Elephas maximus indicus: one gene and its partner. The protein of the gene in region 2 interacts with the protein of the main gene of each other region in a pairwise test. Links are inferred from orthologs where the notes say so. Each region holds a gene or a part of one and is shown on either strand. Other genes may lie near its edges.

Region 1 (3,744 bases), on a different chromosome or scaffold from region 2:
ACGGATGAACCTGGAGGGCATTATGCTGAGTGAAATAAGTCAATTGCCATAGGCCAAATATTGTATGAAACCACTACTATAAAAACTCATGAAAAGGTTTACACACAAAAAGAAACAACCTTTGATGGTCACAGGGAGGGGAGGCATGGGGATGGAAAAACACTAGATAGACAATAGGTAAGTGGTACCTTTGGTGAAGGGTAAGACAGTACACAATACTGGGGAAGCCAGCACAGCTTGTACAAGGCAGGGTCATGGAAGCTCTGCAGATACGTCCAAACTCCCTGAGGGACCAAATTACTGGGCTGAGGGCTGGGGACCATGGTCTCGGGGAACATCTAGCTCAATTGGCATAACACAGCTTATAAAGAAAATATTCTACGTTCTACTTCGGTGAGTAGCATCTGGGATCTTCAAAAGCCTGTAAGCAGCCATTTAAGATACTCCACTGGTCTCACCCCTTCGGGAGCAAGGGAGAATGAAAAAAACTAGAGACACAAGGGAAAGATTAGTCCAAAGGACTAATGGACCACAAGTACCATGGCCTCCACCAGTCTGAGTCCAGTACAACTAGATGGTGCCAGGCTGCCACCATTGACTGCTCTGACAGGGATCACAATAGAAGGTCTCAGACAGAGTTGGAGAAAAATGAAGAACAAAATTCTAACCTACAAAAAAAGACCAGACTTACTGGCCTGACAGAGACAGGAAAAACCCCAAGAGTAGGGTCTCTGGACACCCTTTTAGCTCAGTAATGAAGTCACTCCTGAGGTTCACCCTTCAGCCAAAGATTTGACAGGCCCATAAAACAAACCCAGACTAAAGGGGCACACCTGCTCAGGAGCAAGGACTAGAAGGCAGGAGAGGACAGAAAGCTGGTAATAGGGAACCCAAGGTCAAGAAGGGAGAGTGTTGACATGTCGTGGGGTTGTTAACCAATGTCGTAAAACAATATGTGTACTAACTGTTGAATAAGTAAGTTTGTCCTGTAAACCTTCATCTAAAGTACAATAATAAAAAAAAAAAAAAAAAATCCCTCAGCACTGCCTCAGCCCATTGGTGCCCTCAGCTCTCAGCTCCGCAAGGGGCTGCCCTCAACCATTCCTTCCAGAGTGCCTATATCTCTGTCTCTGCCTCTTTCTGTCTCTCTTTCTCCTCTACATCCCCTTTAAGCTTCCAGACTCAGCAAGCAAGCATTGCTTCCTTTTACCCTTAAAATTTTTTCCTCCCTGTGGAAAAAGTGCGAAGGATCCTGGCCTATCAAGGGATACAAGTGGTGGCCACCCTGTACCCGCAGAGCCCGGGCAGGAGATGGGTGAGGTGTGTCAGCTCCTGAGGCCAGGAACCACAGGTAGACCAACCTTCCCCAGTCTGGAATCCCAGGGCAGAAACCCCTGCCTGAACCTGGGCCCAGAGCACCGTGAGAGAAATGAGTACGGAAGGCCCCACATCCTGCCCACACCGGAAGGAACCTTCATGAAAATGCGCAGAGAGAGGACAGTGGTGCTGAGGCCCTGTGGTGTGGGGCCGGCCTGGGCTCAGGCCCTGAGGATGGGAGGATTGGGTGCCAACCGAGAGCAGCTGCTACCATGAAGGACAAAGGCCATCAAGAGGGGTCACCCTCTATCCTCACTACCCTCCCTCACCCCTTCCTTGGACCTCTCACCTTCCTGCCACAGAGAGTTCAGCAGTCCAGGTTTTAATCTCTGTGCTGGGTGTAGTCCTTATCTGCAGAAGAGGGGTGATATGATGTCCTGGTGCCCCAGGAAGTGGGGCAGACAGTCCTGCTTAGGGCTCATTCCTTTAAACCTGGTGAAGGTACCACAGTGCTGGTAGCACTTACCATCCACTGATGGCAGGCCCCCCTTCCTGGCATTTTAGCAGAGTGACTCCAACTGGGGGATTTTGGATTTCAGGCCCAAGAGTAAGGGGATGTTTGGAGACAGTGGACGGGGGTCTTTCCTCTACTTGGCTCCCTTCACCATAGGATAATAAATAGGGACACTTTGGAGAGTGGCATAGGTACTATTAATAAATACACCAGGACGATAAGCTTAAACCAGAGCTGTCCCGGCAGGCCAGCAAGCAGCGTTCCTTACCACTAAACCAAGCCTCTGGGTGGGGCCCAAAAGGCAAAGTAAAGCTGGGAGAGCCATAACGGCTGAGTTTGAGTCTAACCTGTTCCTACAGTTATGACACCCAACCTGCCCACCAGCTCCCCACAAACCCTGACCAGTCTGGCCTCCCTCCTTCCCTCGACTCAAGGGTCTGGGTGAAGGCTCCCTTGGGGCCTCTGGCCATGAAAGACCCCATAGGTACTAAACCACAGCGGTCACAAGGGCCCACAGCAGGCCTTTTACCCTTCACAACTGAAGACATGGGAAGGCAGACCACTGAGGTGAGTGGGGGGCCAGAACAGGAAATCTGAGAAAGGGCCAGACTGGGAGGGGAAGTAGAATGGGGTAGGGGGACAGAGTAAAGGAAAGGGCAGGGCCGGGGTTCTAGCACAAGGCCAGGCTCACGGTTAGTGTGCACGCACGCAGCAGGGCATATACCACGTCCCACACAGCCCTCATCACATTCCTGCCCACCCGCCCCAGCCTCTGCCACGAGGGCCCACACATGGGCCTCCAAAGACTGCTTCCCCCAGGTCCCACCCAAAGCTCACCTCTGAATAGCCCAAGAAGGGGTGAGCTAGCCTAGGCGCCCCAGGAGCGGCCCCTGCTGCACAGTCCGTCCGCCCCCTGAGTGTGGCAGCTGGAGCTTCCGACTTCCGCTCCCCCCTCACCACCAGTACACACACCCCTTCCCGCTCAGCTGCCTCCCCAGGCTCCTAGCTGCTGTGCACCTCACACTTCCTGCCCACAAGACCGGGGTCTCCACTCTCAGGCCCAGGCCTCCTGGTCCCCTTCCCCATACCCCTGCTCTCCGGAGGCCCCCACCCTGCTCGGCACCAGGCCCAGAAAGAGCCCTCAGGGATTGCCCTTCTCACTCAGTCAAAGGCCTGGGAGAGAGAAAGGGGAAGGTGTCAGTGCCCTGGCTGTGAGCAGGCGCCACCTCCTTCCTCTCTGTGGTTCTTGTCACTGGGTTTTCATCTCTGCTCCAGCTCTCTGCTCTTTGCAGGGCACCTCGCGGGAGATGGGGGGCCTCCAGGTGGGGTGACTTTCCTTTTTCTTTTTTTAGCAAAGAGCATTTCCATTTTTGCGTGGCTGCATCTCATGTCAGTGATAATGACAGCTGACACATTCACTTTGTAGCTTACAAAGTGTTCACCAGTAGCATCTCAATCACCCCTCACCTACTTTATGAAGCATTAGTATACTGTGATACAGATAGGGAAGCAGGCTCAGAGAGGTTATGGCACTCACTGCTTGGGGTTGTACACCTGGCAAGTCACAAAGCTGGATTAGAGCTCAGAGCCTCTGATCATAAAAATCCACACCCAACAGCTGAATTCCATGGGATACAGACCAAAGGCATGCACGAGTGTGAGACTGATGCTGGTGAGGAGCACACTGTCCCATTCTCTTCTCCTCAACACAATCTACTTCTTCAGCTGCAACTACCACCTACTCCTCTGCTGAGGATCCAACGGCCCCCACCCTGCCCCAAGCTCTAGTCCATGCCGGGGAGATTCCCCCATCACTGCTAGAGACTGCATGTCTCATAGCAGCAGTGCCTTTAGACCCAGGCAACCCAGGCCTGTCTTCTAGAGGTAAACACTTAGCTACTGTCTTAGTCACC
Region 2 (3,744 bases):
GGTCACAGGCCAAGGGCAGGGGTCAGGTCTAACCTTAACTGGGCTTCAGCTTAGTACCATCATTTAACCATAAGGCTCAGACCAACAGCACTGGACCCAAGGGCCTGGCTGGTTATGACCTAAGGCAAACCTACCCCCCACCCCTCATCCGGCACACATTCCACAACCTCCCTCCCTGCCCTGTGACGACTACTGTCCTCAGGGGCACCAGCTCTACCCACAGCCACAGAGCCCACGGGACACACTGGTGAGACCCCTGGGCTGGGATTTGGAGCTCTGCCTCTTGGAAGCTCTATGTCCAGGACCAATGACACCACTTCCTTGAGCCTCAGTTCCTTTATCTCTAAAATGGGTCTGATGAGAAGAATCCCCTGCTCCGTCACTTCACAGGAGCAAATGAAATAATGGAAGCAAAAACACTTTGTAAACCATAAAGTGATAAAGGCAATACTTAGCATTCTTCCTCCTCCTCTATGCCAGGTGTGATTTCATTTAACCCCCACAAAAACATCCAACTCCGGTACTAGTGTTATTTGCAATTTACACATGAGGAAACTGGGGCTTAATAATGAGAGATAGGTGGGGATTTGAACCCAGATCAGTCTGGGCACAGAAGGCTCAGGACCAGCAGCACTCTGGGCTTACTAGGGAGGGCGGAGGCTCTCCTCTTCTCTCCTCTGCAGGTGACCACAGGCTTTGAGCCCCCAAAACCTGTTCCACTGTAGGATTAATCATGTGGAAGGTCCAGAGGACAGGCAGGGGGAAGGGGAGGGGAAGACAGAAACCACCAATTAGGTGTCAGGAGGGGGTGCTACCATCAGTAATCTTCTAACACCCTGGCTGGGAAAGAATTTTTATCCCAGTTTTACAGATGAGGAAACAGGGTTTATAAAGGATAAGTGACTCACCCAATCAGAGCAGGCAGGAGAGACTCTTTTCCACAGCAGCTCTCTCGTCCCTACTCCAGATTCAGAGGTGTGGCTAAGCTACCCTCCCTTGCCCAGGGCCCACAGCCCTCCTTACTTCATAACCACCTCCCTGGGGGCTGCCCCACCCACCCTCTCTCCCTCATCCCAGAAGAGAACCACAGAGTTCCCCCCGCTGGAACAGACCATCATTCTCAGAAGCAGTGGGCAACTCCCACCCCTGGTGGAATCCCACAAATATGTAAAGGGGATATTTTGGGAGCCAAGAAGTATAGAAGATGGTCCCTGCCTGGCCTGGCACTCCCACCAGCAGGCACCAGCCCAAGTTCCCGATGTCAGCCTCATCTCATATAGGAGGCGGCTACAGCTGGAACAACAGAGTGGGGCAAGAGGAGGGGCAGGGCGGACTCCCTAGGCCCAGACACGCTGGCACTCCTAGGAGAGGAAGCTCGGGCTCCCCTGGTGGGACCAGGGAAGGCAAAGATGGACCGTGTGTGTGTGTGTGTGTGTGTGTGTGTGGCTGTACTGCCTGCTGTTTCCTGGAGAGGGGAGAGGCCTTGGCCAAGATGACACAGAAGGAGGAGGAAAAAGAGGAGGAGGAGGAAGAGACCAGGTGAGGGAAGGAGTGTGCATGAGTCCTGGGCTTTAAGCTCCACATCTGCCAAGAAGGCCTCTGTGACCCCAGGGAAGCCACTCCACCTCTCTGGGCCTCCATTTCCTCTGGTGAAAAAGGAGGGATCTGGGCTGGGTTTCTCAGGCCTCAGGGGAAGGTGCCAGGTGACGGGTTGCAACCAGAGACAAGTGAGAGAGATGGGGCAAGGAGGCCGTATGAGGCCCCTCCCGGCCTCCCAGACACCCCTGGGAGGTGGCGGCGAGTCTGCCGTTTGCCTGGGCACCCCCGGGACTTCAGAAGCCCGAGGGCGAAGGTGCGAGAGAAAACAGGTTTCAAAAATAGCCAGGACGCCAACTTCACCACCTCAACCCGGCTAGTGGAGGGGAAAGGGGGTGTAGATCGCCCGGTGTGAGGGACCTACGTACAGAGACCCAGGCCGAGCCTCGCCCCAACCTCAAGCAGGTACCTGCAACCCCAGGCTCACACCTGGGTGGGTCTCTGGGAGCCCAGGAGTCAAGAGAGGATCTCGTGGGTCGGACTGGGGCAAGAGGCAAGTGTGCTGCCACCCCCGTTAACGTCAGTGGTGGCGCAGGGGTGCGAGGACCCAGGCATCTTCCCAAGCCCCTGCGCCCAGTCCCCTCCCCGGGCCACCGACAGCGAGCTCCCGCCTCCCCAAAGCTGTGCAGGACAGCTCAGGTTTCTTCTCCTGCCCTGCAACCCCGTCCCACTCCCTCCTGCACCTGGGCACCCGGACATGCGGCCTCGTCCCCCGATGTCTGTCCTTCCTGCCCAGCTGCACAGAGCGGGGGTGGGGGGCACAGCTTGACCCGGAGCGACCCCCCAGCCCCGCCGGGCCCCGGCACGGCCGCCCCAGCCGCGCGCCGGGCAGGACGCGGGTCAGGCCCCGCCTCTCCCCAACTTCTCCGAACTGCGGGCAACGCGGGAGGCCCATGAGCCCCGGCCCGTCCGCCCTGGCCCGACCCCTGCCTGGCCCCGGGGGACGCGTGCACACTCACTCCGGTGCCGGCCGCCGCCCCCCCAGCTCTGCTTGGCGAGGCTGGGGCTCCGGATCAGCGCCCGCCCCGCAGACTTGAGCGCGTCCATGGCCCGCTCCGACCGCCGCCGCCAAAACTCCGCCAGGAAAAACTTTCCGCCGGGGCCGGGCGGCGCGCGCTCCGCGCTCTCCCCTCCCCCGCGCGAGCTCCGCGGCGGCGTCCTGGGGGCGGGGCCAATGCCGCCAAGCCCCGCCCCGCCCCGCCCCGCCCCCGGCGGCGCTACCTCGCTCCGCCCTCCCTGCCCCCGGGGCTGGGCGCGCCGCGCTACCTGGCGTAGTGCGCCTTAAAAAGCCAGTAGCTGTTGCCAGCGAGTGGTTTTTAACTCTTAGCGACCGTGTTAATACAGAGCAGAACTGTCCGTAGGATTCCCAAGGAGCGGTTGGTGGATTTGCACCCCTAAAATAGCGAGCTGAAAGGAAGACGGCTCCCCCTTTCCCTCCTTCTCTCTAACCCCATTCCCCCCACCCCATTGGAACTGGCAGGTCCGAGGGCCACCGCCCCACCGCAGGACTCTCCCGTCGGGACGCCCGACCCTAGGATTTCCTAGACAGCCCAGTCGAAAGGTACTTGGAGACCACTTTGTGGATGGGAAGACTGAGGGCCACAGAGAAGGGCCCTGTTCAGGGACAGAGGGCGGCTTAGAAGCAGAGGGTGGAGGTTGTAGAACTTTGCTGGAAATGGGCGGGAGTATAAAAGTTTGCCTTAGCAAGGCCAGCTGGCACCTTACCCACATAACACTCGGGCTGCTCCCTGGCACCACCCGGGCACACTGTGCCCATCCCCCGCCCCCCCAGGAGGCCTCAGAAGGTGGTAGGGCCTGGGGTGTTATGTCTTAGCTTCTGACACTGACTTGTCCGGTGACTCGGGCAAGTCCTTGCCCTCTATGGGTCTTGTTCTTTATCTGTAACATAAGAGGGGACCCCATCACTATTGTTCCTTCCGACCTACCAAGCCACCCCGCCCCCACCCCCACCCCGTCCCTTTTTCTAGGAGGCCCCTGGAAGGGCCAAGGAGTCTCCATTCCGGAATTCCTTAAGCAGATGCCCTAACGCCAGGACTCTAGAACTGTGACTCTGTAGGATCCTGTGACTTCCTGTGAGACTGCCAAAAGGAGTCTAAAGGAGAGTATGTACATTCAGGCCCATGGTCT

Evidence for each region. The genes of interacting proteins can lie anywhere in the genome.
Region 1: the proteins of LDLRAP1 (region 2) and PSD4 interact in binary tests that used the Homo sapiens proteins (3 or more experiments, as listed by UniProt). The two-hybrid records come from large-scale screens. The link is inferred for Elephas maximus indicus from reciprocal best matches to the Homo sapiens genes LDLRAP1 and PSD4.

What each region holds. Positions count from the first base shown.
Region 1 is NC_064835.1:42,477,866-42,481,609, reverse strand, and holds the start of PSD4 (PH and SEC7 domain-containing protein 4), read right to left. Parts: upstream 2,746-3,744; 5' UTR 2,669-2,745; intron 1-2,668. UniProt on the Homo sapiens protein: Guanine nucleotide exchange factor for ARF6 and ARL14/ARF7. Through ARL14 activation, controls the movement of MHC class II-containing vesicles along the actin cytoskeleton in dendritic cells. Involved in membrane recycling.
Region 2 is NC_064821.1:66,002,933-66,006,676, reverse strand, and holds the start of LDLRAP1 (low density lipoprotein receptor adapter protein 1), read right to left. Parts: upstream 2,746-3,744; 5' UTR 2,644-2,745; coding exon 2,556-2,643; intron 1-2,555. UniProt on the Homo sapiens protein: Adapter protein (clathrin-associated sorting protein (CLASP)) required for efficient endocytosis of the LDL receptor (LDLR) in polarized cells such as hepatocytes and lymphocytes, but not in non-polarized cells (fibroblasts).